Arabidopsis thaliana: one gene and its partner. The protein of the gene in region 2 interacts with the protein of the main gene of each other region in a pairwise test. Each region holds a gene or a part of one and is shown on either strand. Other genes may lie near its edges.

Evidence for each region.
Region 1: the proteins of MC1 (region 2) and LSD1 interact in binary tests that used the Arabidopsis thaliana proteins (3 or more experiments, as listed by UniProt).

What each region holds. Positions count from the first base shown.
Region 1 is NC_003075.7:11,001,097-11,008,557, reverse strand, and holds LSD1 (LSD1 zinc finger family protein), read right to left. Parts: upstream 4,042-7,461; 5' UTR 3,844-4,041; intron 3,724-3,843; 5' UTR 3,662-3,723; exon of another isoform or gene 3,547-3,661; coding exon of another isoform or gene 3,532-3,546; coding exon 3,408-3,531; intron 3,319-3,407; coding exon 3,214-3,318; intron 3,129-3,213; coding exon 3,097-3,128; intron 3,002-3,096; coding exon 2,956-3,001; intron 2,725-2,955; coding exon 2,585-2,724; coding exon of another isoform or gene 2,564-2,584; exon of another isoform or gene 2,485-2,563; coding exon 2,413-2,484; intron 2,321-2,412; coding exon 2,249-2,320; intron 2,162-2,248; coding exon 2,120-2,161; 3' UTR 1,770-2,119; downstream 1-1,769. Other genes in the region: AT4G20390 (Uncharacterized protein family (UPF0497)), read right to left, coding at 689-946, 1,064-1,187, 1,279-1,490; TSF (PEBP (phosphatidylethanolamine-binding protein) family protein), read left to right, coding at 5,593-5,793, 6,439-6,500, 7,025-7,065, 7,324-7,461.
Region 2 is NC_003070.9:408,843-415,922, forward strand, and holds MC1 (metacaspase 1), read left to right. Parts: upstream 1-2,821; 5' UTR 2,822-3,040; coding exon 3,041-3,416; intron 3,417-3,617; coding exon 3,618-3,948; intron 3,949-4,040; coding exon 4,041-4,161; intron 4,162-4,237; coding exon 4,238-4,453; intron 4,454-4,524; coding exon 4,525-4,584; 3' UTR 4,585-4,712; downstream 4,713-7,080. Other genes in the region: AT1G02150 (Tetratricopeptide repeat (TPR)-like superfamily protein), read left to right, coding at 1-296, 377-1,591; AT1G02160 (Cox19 family protein (CHCH motif)), read left to right, coding at 1,961-2,051, 2,335-2,519; AT1G02180 (ferredoxin-like protein), read right to left, coding at 4,777-5,375, 5,582-5,663; AT1G02190 (Fatty acid hydroxylase superfamily), read left to right, coding at 6,312-6,828, 6,900-7,080. UniProt on the Arabidopsis thaliana protein: Cysteine protease that cleaves specifically after arginine or lysine residues. Does not cleave caspase-specific substrates. Acts as a positive regulator of cell death.

The sequences.
Region 1 (7,461 bases), on a different chromosome or scaffold from region 2:
CCAAATGTGATTTTGTTTTGTAATAAAATCTTCAATCCATTTATACCAAATAAAATTCAGTAGTTTTATAAACAGAAAATTAAAAAAAAAAAAAAACTGAATTAATCTTCAAATTAAGTAGTTTTGTTGATTTGTATATCTGAACTAAATTAAACAGTTATACTATTTACACTTCATTTTTACTAACCAAAAAGAAAAGGATTTCAATAGTTATGATTATTGATTCACATTTATTAGAGACAGTAGGATCATTATTTACAACACAAAAATTAAGTTGTATGGGAACTACAATGCGATAGAACTAATACTGATTTGTTTTTTAGTCGGTTGATATAATTCATTTTAATGTAAAAAACTAACAATTGATTAGAATTATATTTCCATAAATAGAAGAAGTAGTTGAGAAATAAAAGGTATAAATTATCTTGAATTGGTCTTATCTAATCATCTATTGTAGATTTTTCTCATTGTTTCAATGTACTATATACTTTGTGAATTTTTTTTTGTCATTTTAGAATTATATAAAAAGATAAGAGAGAAATGAAAACTTGAATACAAATGTGAAAGTGATAGAACAAAGGAGTGCATTACACAATTTGCTAGTGACTTGAGAGACAAACACACAAAGTAAGCCACAACATCTATAAAATGGTCACACACATGTTGCTGAATTTTTGGCCACGATGTTTTAGACGACGGAGGTTGTGGTGGCGGTGGTGGAGAAGTTTTTAGAATTGATTAAGAGGCGGGAAATAGAGACGGCGGACACGAGGAGCATTAGAATGACTCCGGCGAATGCTGCGATGATTGCTCCTGCGCCGTGATCACAGTAAGTGGTGAACCTGTCGCAGACTTTGTTCCACTTGGCGTGCTTGTTTCCGTTCTTCCCTAGCTCTGCCACGAACACCGCCGCGTTTGCAGCCGCAGATACTAGTGTTGCGTTTAGCTTTTTTTCCAACGTTTTTTTAGATTATCAAGAAACCGTTTAGCTTTTTTTCCAAACGTTCAAACTAATTCAATTGAAATCAAACCAGTAAATTGATTTGAAAACCAATGTTTATACCATGTCAAGAATGGCGATAGAGAGGAGACGAAGACCTTTGTACTCCAGTTTCCGGCTGAAAATCTGAACCACAATCATCAACAAGTTGTGGAAGCTCACCATTACATTAGCTATAACAAAGAACCTGTAAAACCAAGAATCAATGTTAATAACTCAAAAACATTTTGCTTTCAATATGTATCGAATCGATTTCGTATAGGGTTTTACTCGCTTACACAAAAGCCGGTGTGTGCTGAAACTTAGCGGTTAAAGTGGCTTTAATAGGAACAGTACCAATGGTGGCCACAACCAAGGTCTTTGTCTCTTTGTTTAGTGACATTACAATGGCTGCAGCTAAAGTAGCCATGAATGCAAATATTCTCAGCCCCAAGAGTAGTTTCCAGCTCTTTGTGGTACCACCAGCCACCACAATCTTCTCTCTGGCCATTGTTGATGCAGTGAGTGATCAAGAGAAAGTGATGAAACTTTGTGTCAGTGTTAAAGAGTATTTATATGGAAAGAGTTTGGTCTTGTTGAGAGGTTTTGTCGGATCATCTAACTTTAATGTTCTTGGAGGGTACTGACTGATTAGGTTATGGTTGTTGTGACAAGATTACTGCAAAATAGATTTCCAGATTTCAAGACTTGCTCTAAGACAAGTCTTATCTACCAAAGCTAAGACCAGTTCTTGTGACATGTAGCATATCTCATCCACGGAAGAGACAGATTTCAAACCCAAATCTTAATGATTGGTTGGTGTATCAGATTATATTCATACATACATTAACAATGCCACAAGGGCCGATGGAGTTTTAGAAGTCAACAAACAGAAGAGAAGGTCAAGTTCCATGGAGCAAAAGAATGCCAAATTATTCGAGCAAAAACCTTGTGTCTTCAACTTTGAATAAACCCCAATAATGCAGTAACAAGAGATTCTGATAAGCTTTTTCTCTTGGGTTAAAAAGGAGTCAAGAGATATATAACATACAGTTTTTCCGCGTATGTAATATGCACAAACCAAACGCAGGAATAGAGGAAGAATTTGGATTTGATCTTTAAGATCTCACTCATTCTTGATTACTTTTTGTCAGTTGTCACTCCAACAACAACATTGCTCACCTGCAATTTGTGTGTTTCAGTCACTTTGTCATATCTTCCTCTAATGTGGTAAATAAGAAGAAGAACACAGGTGATAGAAATACTCACCAACTTTCCGCTTTCATCAACGGACATGGGGTTTTCTACAACAACGGTTTGGGTCTGAGAGGGTGGTGTTGACTGTTGGTAAAATGAAAAATCGATGAACAGAGTAAGTACCAGTTCCATAAGAATATACAGAACTATTACAAATTCATAATTTGATAACTCACAGTTGATGTAGAGGGGGGACAAGCTGTTCCATTTGGCCGGTTAGTTGGGAGAGGTACCCTTCCATTGCTCATCTAAGGATGCAAAATGAATCAGAAATGAAAATTTCCAACAGAAAGATCTCTATACTTAACTCAACCATGCAGAGGTGGCTTAATAGATAGGAATAATCACATTAACGTTAGTTACGAATTGACAAACAGCGCATTTGACGGATGATGCACCGTAAGGATACATGAGGGTCGTCCGACAATGCCCACAATTGATCTGCGCAACCTGACTGGAAGGAGCATGGGCAACCTGATTGGAGTGCGCTGTCGATTTCAAAAAAGACACGCACAGATTCAGAAAACAAGCAATGTTAATGCTAGAAAAATCCAAGAAATACTAATGAACGAAGTAATCAGCAATGTTCTTAAGCAGTCATGGATAAATGATAATCATACAGCTAAATGACAACAGCTTAGACGCTAATTAAAGATAAGAATCTAATGGTAGATCAAACAAAACAATAATAAACCCTACTAGCTCTAACAAGTAGTTACCTAGTCCACCGGGACCATCTAAAAGCTTTGTTTTAAGTACTTTCAGCTGCTTTACAAATCCCAGATATTTTCAGAATTCAGATTCATATACATCTTTGGGAAAAGTGGAAATACGTTACGTAAGCATCATCTCCACAGAACAATGTTATCAAACAAAAGTGTGAAAGAAGATTCTAAAGGACTAAAAGACCTTATAAAGCAATATAATACATGGTCTTTAAAAGGATTGATATGGATGTCACGATATTATTAATATACCTGGCACAAGGTTCGTAGTTTGACAGCAAGAGCATCTTACGCTACTAGCCCCACGCGTATACATAAGCATTGTTCTACAACCACCACATATAATGTGTGCCATGTCTGTATTCAGAATCAGAACCCAAGTTATAATACAATTGCAGAGCATATTAACCTCATCCTCAATTCAAATTCAACAAAGAAATCGATACCGTGAGGTGGAGGAGGAGGAGGAACCATGTTGATAGTGTTACATAACGCACAACGCACATTAGATGCTCCTCTAGGATACATCAATAAATTCCTACAACCATGACACACCAGCTGGTCCTGCATATCTGCTACTTTCATCCAAACACACACAAATTGCTTCAAAACAAGACCCACACAGATGAAACCCTAAACATTTCACAATACTTAGTCATTGCAAGGAAGCAATTGGAGATTCAAATACCTAAAAACTCACCTGATTAACAAAAAGAGCTGATTTTGGAACGAAACCCAAATCCAATTCAAAGCCAAAAACTTCTGCATCCAAATCAAAACAAGAATTGTGTGTTGAATCAAACAAACAAACAAGGACAATGATGAGATTACAGAATTGGCGAAAATTGAAAAAAAGGAACAAACTTTGGAGCTTGTTCTTACCGATTGGAGAAGGGTAAGGAATCGAATCCAAAACCCGCGAAAGCTAGAGCGATGATATGCAGAAAATCCAATCCAAATTGAGGAGATAGACAATAGATTTCGATTTTTCTCTCTCTCTATCTCCAAAATCTCAATGCCCGGATTTATCTCTCTGTTTTTCGTAATTTACGCTTCTTTTTTTTTTACATGACGCGTAAGGGTTTTTTTCTCGGTCATAAACGCGTATATACAAACGCAGCGATTGGCTTCTGCTAATTAAATATGAATTTTTATGCCAAGCATACGTCCATAGATCAATTAATTATGGGTAAAAATATATTTTCTAATTTTCTGCAAATGGTGTAATAATATTAAATTATTTTTTGTCTACCCCTTTGAACCAATGAAAATTCTATAATATTTGTGTGTTAAATGAAAAATCGTACATGCTGCCAAACAAAAAATTCATAATAAATAAATGAAAATCGCATATAAACTTTAATCAAATGTTCTGAACATAACGTCCCACGTATGTTTTCGTTTGCTTATTCATATCGGAAGAAGAGTAATTTGCGCATTTCATATTACAAATTGGGGAAATGGACAATAAATTGGAGAGCAAAAATCATAGCCATCTAACCTCACACACTTTTCTTTTTGTTAGGTACCAGAAATATCAAGAATCACTGAGCTAATTGTATTCTCATGACTTTTTGTGGTCAGCAAATGAAACTGGTCTGCAATAGTTTTTAGAAGTCTTTATCGGTTTATTTCTCATGTGTTTTGTCAGAAATTTCTTAGAAATTTTTGTCTTCCAAACTTGGGGAACTAAATTTGTTTGGAGTGTAAGAATACACGGTTGAGCTTTTAGGTAATACACTTGTTTTTGAAAGGTATAATGAATTTTAAAAAAATTACTTTATCAACATTTAAGATTTGGAGACAATTTTGAAATCACGTTTGAAAACGAATTTTTTGGCCAATTGTTCACTTTTCTGTCGTTATTATACTTCTGTTACCTTGTGTCTATTTGTTAATTTACTTGTTTTATTTGATTTACTCCATTGTTTTAAAAGTTTTACTGGTTTGTTTTGTTAAATTGATATTTTTGATGGTATTAATTAAGTTTAGTACTACATTAAGAAAAGAAAAAAAAGAGTCTAGTACGTATGTACACACCAACCAGATATGTGAACAATTATGGCGTCAATTTATCTGGAGCATATATACTTTTATATGATGGTTTAGGTTGAAGGAGTTATTCTAAAATGCATTAACATCATACATAATCGGTGTAATGTAGTGTCCTTAACTATTTAAATGAGTGACATGTGACGCAAAATGCGTGACGTACGCAAATATGCAGCATATTATATGCTTGTGACATTATTTTAAATAGTTCATGAAGTTACAATGATAAGTCAGAATAAATTACATACTAGTGGCTAGCAAGAAACAAGTGGATGATGTATAATTTGGAATATGATTATTTCTGTTTTATACTGGTGGGTTTTGGAATAAGAATACTATAAATTTAGAAAAAAGGAAAGAAAAAAAAAACATGAATTATAAGTGATATACGTACGTTGAACGAGTTGTAGATTCTCGAAACTATACACGAAAAGACCCTGGTAATGATTTCATTGGAGAGAATAAAGCTAAATAGCTAATTATTGCAATTCCCAAAACGTTATATAAAGAATAGCAAGTAAGGGTTCATAAGGTAAGAAGCAAAACATTTGATTGAGATACTTGAGATCCAAGATAAATATGTCTTTAAGTCGTAGAGATCCTCTTGTGGTCGGCAGTGTTGTTGGAGATGTTCTTGATCCTTTCACGAGGTTGGTCTCTCTTAAGGTCACTTATGGCCATAGAGAGGTTACTAATGGCTTGGATCTAAGGCCTTCTCAAGTTCTGAACAAACCAATAGTGGAGATTGGAGGAGACGACTTCAGAAATTTCTACACCTTGGTGATCTTCTCTCCTTCATTCCTCTTATCTTCATTGATTTAGTTCCTCGTAGCTCACTCTTTCGTTTTCGTAAGCTCCATATATTGACGAAGAAACCTTAGATATATCCAAATTTAAGCGTAACTAGATTTGATCATTCTTTTCTTTCGTAGCCTCATCTATATACCTGCTGCGTTTCCTCTAACTTCTTGCATGCATAACTGTTATTGGTTTGATTATTATTTTAAATCAATTTTGAATCTTTCTCGATTATATATATTACGTTTTCAAGAGACGGTTAACTTGATTTTGTTTCGCTTTTATTTTTATTTTAGTTTTTTTATTCTAGGATACATACCTTTAGAAAAGCATAAATATCTTAATTGACACTTATTTTAACGACTTTTGAATCTGAATAGTAAAGCCAGTATTTTTAGATACCCTTATATTAATGGAAAATGTTACTATTACCTTTTTCTAATTTAAGCTTCTTCGTCTTTACTTCTTTTTCTATTAACTTTTGGTTAACTTCTTCGTCTTAATGTGTGTTATCACTTTTCAAGAGTTAAAAAAAAAAAATCAAACTCATGATTTAATTTCTTGATTGCTTTAATATATTCATAATCGATCTTCTCTCTTATACGGTTGTTGATGGGTTTAATAAAGGTTATGGTGGATCCAGATGTGCCGAGTCCAAGCAACCCTCACCAACGAGAATATCTCCACTGGTTTGTATCATATCTCTTCATTTCATTTAACTTAACTTTAGATCGTGCATCACACTTATTTTCGAGTATAAATAGAAAACAAATAGGTAAGGTATATATGGGAATTAGAAAAAGACTTTAAAATTTAGAGATTCAATACATATCTCAAGTGACACACAAAAAACGATATTTTAGATTTTTACTAATAATAGAAGGGGACATACAGAATCAACTTTAAGAGAGCAGCAACTTGTCAAGAAAAAAGATGTCTTACGTATACATCCAACATAGAGACTTTAAACAGGAATAGAACATGACTTTGTGGTCAGAGTTAGTTTTTGTTTTAGTGTGTGTGTGTGTCATGTTATATCATAGCTTGCACGCAACAAACGTCTATTCTTCATAGTCTGACCTTTTCTACATGCTTTAGACGAAACTTTCAAAAACTTTGATGCATGCTTTGTTTTTTAGTCGAATTTAGTTAACTATCTGCAGGTTGCACTGCACCATATCTTTAACTTTAATGGATAATACTCTCGTTACAGGTTGGTGACTGATATACCTGCCACCACTGGAAATGCCTTTGGTAAGTTTAAGTAACTCTGTATAGATACATTAGGTAAGATAGATAAAACTCATATCACCAAGCTTAGGCTTTGAATAGTGTTAGCATGGAGCATATATATTCTTAAGAAGATATCTATTTTTATATAGCCTTCTTAATTTATATGTATGTTGCAACAATCAAATCTTTAATCTATATAAAATAAGCGACACAAAACACTTACCTAGTGGACAAATTAGGAAGGGCTAATTAATATTTGTGTTTATGATTGTTTATCAGGCAATGAGGTGGTGTGCTACGAGAGTCCACGTCCCCCCTCGGGAATTCATCGTATTGTGTTGGTATTGTTCCGGCAACTCGGAAGACAAACGGTTTATGCACCGGGGTGGCGCCAACAGTTCAACACTCGTGAGTTTG
Region 2 (7,080 bases):
GTCTCCTTCGCTGCAGATCTCCTGTCGTCTCCGTAGCTGCTCTCTCGAAGAAGACGGCAGCAATCGTGTGCTCCATCTCCCAGGTTTATGGCTACGGCACGGTGGACTACGAGAGAAGGCCGATTGTCCAGTGGAATGCCATCTACAAGAAGATTTCGCTGATGGAGAAGCCAGAGCTTGGCGCTGCTTCCGTCTTGAATCAGTGGGAGAAAGCCGGCCGCAAGCTTACCAAGTGGGAGCTCTGTCGGGTCGTCAAGGAGCTTCGCAAGTACAAGCGTGCCAACCAAGCTCTCGAGGTCCGTGTCCTCCTTGTATTTGCCCTCGCTTTATTTTGTATCTTTAACACTACTTACTTGATCGCGTATCGTTTTCATAGGTGTACGACTGGATGAACAACAGAGGCGAAAGGTTTCGGTTGTCTGCAAGTGATGCTGCAATCCAGCTCGACTTAATCGGCAAAGTGCGTGGCATTCCAGACGCCGAAGAGTTCTTCCTCCAGCTCCCTGAGAATTTTAAGGACCGGAGAGTTTATGGTTCCCTCCTCAATGCCTATGTGAGGGCCAAGTCGAGAGAAAAGGCTGAAGCCCTGCTCAACACCATGAGGGACAAAGGTTACGCCCTGCACCCGCTTCCCTTCAACGTCATGATGACTCTCTACATGAACCTCAGGGAGTATGACAAAGTCGACGCTATGGTCTTCGAGATGAAGCAGAAAGATATACGTCTCGACATTTACTCCTACAACATCTGGCTCTCCTCTTGCGGCTCCTTAGGATCAGTTGAGAAAATGGAACTAGTGTATCAGCAGATGAAATCGGATGTTTCCATTTATCCCAACTGGACCACGTTTAGCACAATGGCCACAATGTACATAAAGATGGGTGAAACTGAGAAAGCCGAAGATGCACTGAGGAAGGTTGAAGCAAGGATTACTGGTCGTAATCGCATTCCGTATCACTACCTCTTGAGTTTGTATGGCAGCCTTGGTAACAAGAAAGAGCTGTACCGAGTCTGGCACGTCTACAAATCTGTTGTCCCGAGCATTCCCAATTTGGGTTACCATGCCTTGGTCTCGTCGCTGGTGAGGATGGGAGACATTGAAGGGGCCGAGAAGGTATATGAGGAATGGCTTCCAGTCAAGTCTTCTTATGACCCCAGGATACCAAATCTTCTGATGAATGCGTATGTCAAAAACGACCAACTAGAGACAGCTGAGGGGTTGTTCGACCACATGGTTGAAATGGGAGGAAAACCAAGTTCAAGTACGTGGGAGATTCTAGCTGTTGGTCATACCAGAAAGAGGTGTATTTCAGAGGCTTTGACTTGTCTTAGAAATGCTTTTTCGGCTGAAGGGTCCAGCAATTGGAGGCCCAAGGTGTTGATGCTGTCTGGTTTCTTCAAGCTCTGTGAAGAGGAATCGGATGTTACCAGTAAAGAGGCCGTTTTGGAATTGTTAAGGCAGTCGGGGGATCTTGAAGACAAATCTTACCTAGCTCTTATTGATGTGGACGAAAACAGAACAGTAAACAACAGTGAAATCGATGCCCATGAGACCGATGCGCTTCTAACACAGCTACAAGATGATTTGTAATCTGATAGTCCTAGATCTTTGCTTTAAAAAACGAATCTTGTAACCGGAGTCAACTGAGGAAATGCGAAATATGTATAATGTACACAAGAGACTGCCTAGTGAAACATGAATGTAAGAGCTGTGTCCCTTTTTGTGACAGCTATTTGGAATTAGTGTTGCTTAGGGAACTGGATTAGCCTTTGTTCTCTTGTTTGATTGTTGTTACTTGTTAAGACTAATATTGGAGAGGTTAGGTTGTGCTCTTTTATTTTGGGCCGGACGGATAAAAGGCCCGATATTGAATATATAAGTCTGAGAGTCTCAAAGGCCCATCTCCATTAAGATATCTTCGCGGAATCGGTTGTGAGAGAGAGAGACGGTGATCGGGAAATGTCGACGAAAGGCGCGGCGGCGGCGTACCCTAGCGCGGCTCGGATATCTGATTCTCCATGTTATCTTCAGTACTCTGCTTCTCTCAAATGTGAGTCATGCTCCTGATCTCACCCTTTGTGATTGTTTCTTCGAGGATAGGATTTGACATGTTATCTTCAGTACTGTCAAGTTCCATAACGAATTAGCATTGATTAGATCTCATCTATTTCATTATGCTTCCTCAAGGTGATTAGATTAGTGGGTTGAATCCCATGTCAGTGATTCGATTTAGGTCCCATCAATTGATAACGTCGGGTTTGATTCCTGATTGTTTATGTGTTTCCGTTTTCATTAGTTATGCCTCTTAGCTTGACCCCTTGATTTCTTATCAGGTCTTGAAGAATTTGGATCAGACAAGAGTAAATGCCAGGATCATTTTGATGTGTACAAGGAATGCAAGAAGAAAGAGGTTGTTGTTGTGAATGAATATTTAGGCTTTTGGCGTTTCCAACTTCTTTGCTGCTTTACCTATGTGTTATTTTGTTTCTCAGAGGGAAGCTCGACTGGAACGCAATAAGACACGGTCGTTGTTCTCGTGAATGCAGATCCTCGAATACCAATGATGTCTCAGAACATCACCTAGCTAGTAGTATCCTGTTGTTTCATTTGCAATGGCTGTGTTTGTATGATCTATCTAAGTAAACAAGTGGAAAGTGTTTGTTAATGTTACTTTTTACTCCCCATTGGTGAATCATGGTGTATACCTGTTAAACTTTGAGAGCAAGTGGTTATTTATTTAGTTAGAGAGTTAGAGCTTCTCCACCACCATATTGAATAAGAAGATCTTTCTCTCATTCTTTTACTTTACTCTGGCGTCTGAAACAGATCCAGGGATTCCAGTAGTGAATTGGGCTTAAAAACTGTTATATGGGCTTTCGAAAGTAAAAGGTTCGGTGAGCTGCCAAAGAAAAGTCAGATGCCTTTAATCGCATTTGACGACGATTCTTTACGTGCGCCATTGACTGCATCGTCGTCTTCCTCACGCGATTTGGTAATCCGATTCGTCTTCATCTGATTCCCTCCCTTCCGAGAATAATAATGTACCCGCCACCTCCCTCAAGCATCTACGCTCCTCCGATGCTGGTGAATTGCTCCGGTTGCCGGACGCCTCTCCAGCTCCCATCCGGCGCCCGATCTATTCGCTGCGCTCTCTGCCAGGCTGTTACTCATATCGCCGACCCTCGCACCGCCCCTCCTCCGCAACCTTCCTCCGCCCCTTCTCCGCCTCCCCAAATCCACGCGCCTCCCGGTCAGCTGCCTCACCCCCATGGCAGGAAGAGGGCCGTGATCTGTGGCATCTCGTATCGTTTCTCTCGCCACGAGCTCAAAGGCTGCATCAACGACGCCAAGTGCATGCGTCACCTTCTCATCAACAAATTCAAATTCTCCCCAGATTCAATTCTCATGCTTACCGGTACAGAGTATTTCTATCTTTTCAAATGCCTATGTTTGCTACTATACTACTATTCCTTGGATTTTGAATACAATTTTCCTTGGCCTCTTCAATCTGATAAACACACATTCCAAGTTACCATTTCGAACCACTTTGATAAAAATGTGTTGCATTCCATAGCTGACTAACTAATTGTTCATCATGGATGGTTTTCATTCTCAGAGGAAGAAACTGATCCATATCGTATCCCGACCAAGCAAAACATGAGGATGGCATTGTATTGGCTCGTACAGGGATGCACAGCAGGCGACTCACTTGTCTTCCACTACTCTGGTCATGGTTCGCGTCAAAGAAACTACAACGGTGATGAAGTTGATGGCTATGATGAAACACTCTGTCCTCTGGATTTTGAAACTCAGGGGATGATTGTAGACGATGAGATCAACGCAACCATTGTACGCCCTCTTCCACATGGTGTCAAGCTCCATTCAATTATCGATGCTTGCCATAGTGGTACCGTTCTGGATTTACCCTTCCTATGCAGAATGAACAGGTTATTAGTCCCTCAACCGCTTCTAAAAGGGATGTTGCTTACCTCTCTCGTTATATTTAACATACATCCATTTTTTTTTTTAATTGAAACAGAGCTGGGCAGTATGTGTGGGAGGATCATCGGCCTAGGTCAGGTTTGTGGAAAGGAACTGCTGGTGGAGAAGCCATTTCAATTAGTGGATGTGATGATGATCAGACTTCGGCCGACACATCAGTAAGTAGAACGACTCTAATCATACGTCTTGCTGTTGTAGTTGGTTCCTCCTCTCATGATTAAAACACATACACAGGCGCTGTCGAAGATCACGTCTACGGGTGCTATGACTTTCTGTTTTATTCAAGCAATTGAACGCAGCGCACAAGGCACAACCTATGGAAGCCTTCTGAATTCTATGCGCACCACAATAAGGAATACAGGGAATGATGGTGGTGGTAGTGGTGGAGTTGTGACGACTGTGCTGAGCATGCTTCTGACAGGGGGAAGTGCGATTGGGGGATTAAGACAGGTAAAATTCTTTCTTGCTCTCTTGTGTTGATACAGATCGATAAATGTTTTCTTAAATCTGTTTTTTGACAGGAGCCTCAACTGACTGCTTGCCAAACATTCGATGTCTATGCAAAGCCTTTCACTCTCTAGTAAAGGACAAGTCACTTTTTATGTATAGCGAGTGTGATTTGAGAATCCGTCCATATAACCACCTTTTGTTTCTTATTTTTATTTTTCTTTCAAAAGAATAAAGGAAAACATTGATTTGGTGATTCGATAACAAAATGTGCCATCTATTCTTTAGTCTTTACAAACAAGCAGCAAATGGTTTGCCTTTCAGAATCAAAATTTAAGGTGTTTCTCGAATAGACAGAAGGAAGAGAAGAGAAGTCCCAGAAAGCTGTTCAGAAGGCGCATACAAATCATGTGTGCGTTGCTGCTGCAAGGAAAAGCACTTCCGCTGTAGCAGCCTGTTCTTTGTTTGATACCCCGGCCGTTATCTTCCAGTACAAAGGAGGAGTTTTTCACACCATCGCTAAAGAGAAGACACCAAAAGAAGGTACCTTTATGCAACCTAGCCATTCCCACTCCAACCTCGGTATGCGACCTGTTTCTGAGCACCGACAACGCACTGCTATCTCTAAAGAGAATGTCTGAGAAAGCGACTTCTGGTGCTGCATACTTAGAGCTGCAGCCGAGGATATGGCCAGTTATGGTACCAAAAGTGGGGAGTTCTACACCACAGTTTGGGGCAAACACCTGAGTGAAGTCGTCTTCAGGGTGTTCACAGCTGAGAGTGTTGTTGACATTGCAATTCCCCTCGCAGAGCTCAACATACTGGAGGGCCATGCAGCCAAGACCGGGACTCTCATTTAGTTTGCCTAGTTTCCGAGCTGTTCTGTTCTGGTTCAAGATGCTCACCATTTCATGAGCTGAGTTTCCTGCAACCATTCTAACTAACACTTAGTCCGCCTAAAACGAATCAACATAATATAAACTGTCGAATCTGGTTCTGACTAAAGAAAGCGAACTCGAGATTAAATCAGAGGGAGTGGCTGTAAATTCAAAATAAAGCCTGGCCAAATGCTGAACGAGAAATCCAAGTCTATATTCGCATATGTTATGAGGGGATAAAGCAAGGAGTTACCGTGCAATTTGGAGCTAGCTAGCACTGATGAGAGTGACAGAAACAGTAAAATCAACTCCAAAATGCTGATTTCGTTCTTCATATCGTGTTTTATCCTCTGAATTCCCAGCGTAATAGCTCGAGCTGGCGGATTTTCGAAAAATCGAGAAAAACAAAAAACAGAAAAGGAGAAAGTTTTTGAAAGGAGATGAGCTTGATGGAGATGTTGACTGGTCCCTGAATAAATGAAAAATGTGTTGCATTATTTCTATTATTGAGAAGAAAAAAACCAGGCATTTTGGTTATTGGGCTTTGATTTGATGTTGGGCTCTCAACCATTGAAATTGAATGAAGAAAGAAGGAAAGTACGTGACTTGAATTTCATTTACTTCATTAAATGGGCGGCGTTGGGGCCGGTGGAGGTGGGCCAATGACATTGATGTGTAAACAGAGGTAAAGCCGAATTTTGGCTAAGGCGAATCAATGCCCATTGGCTCCTCTCCTTACATATTTGAAGTTTGAGGTTTCCTTCCTTTTCTTAAATTAAATGTTGCTGTAACATTTCTACTATTGTAAACCGGGGCTCCACCACCATGTGCTTCTTCAACACTGTATCATCAGAGCCCACATGGTCATGCCTCTATATAATACTTTGTATTATTATTATTCTTATGTCACATTATAAACAAGTACCTCCAAATTGCACTTCCTTCAAACTTATTCGACAGTAGACTAGCTCAAGTACCTTTGGATGGCGTCGAGGCCCGGAGCTCTTACGGAGTGGCCATGGAGTCCCCTTGGTAGCTTCAAGTACCTCTTGGTGGCCCCGTTGGTGATGGCGAGCATGCACTCGTACGTGACGGCTGTGGATGAGGAGAAAGACCTCAGCAGACTTATGATAGTCGTGTTGATGCTGTGGAGAATAGTTCACAGCCAGATATGGATCAGCGTGTCTCGCCAGAGGACGGCTAAGGGAACGAACAAGATCGTGGACAAGCCCATTGAGTTTGAGCAAGTGGACCGAGAGCGCACTTGGGACGACCAAGTCATCTTCAACACTCTCCTCATGTATCTCGCAAACATCAAGCTCCCAGGCGCCTCCCACCTTCCCCCATGGAGGCTAGACGGGGCCATCCTCATGGCTCTACTTCACGCTGGTCCCGTCGAGTTTCTCTACTACTGGTTTCACAGAGCTCTCCACCACCATTTCCTCTACTCTCGCTACCATTCTCACCACCACTCCTCCATTGTCACCGAGCCCATCACGTGTACGTACCTTTATCCACCATTTGCTTCTATTCTATATACATTCATTCATATCTTTAATCAAACTTGGCAGCTGTGGTGCACCCCTTCGCCGAGCACATCGCCTACACACTACTCTTTGCCATACCTATGGTAACGGCGTCCCTGTGTGGGATCCTCTCCATCGTTTCCATCATGGGATACATTACTTACATTGACTTCATGAACAACATGGGACATTGCAACTTCGAGCTTTTCCCTAAGCGTCTCTTCCA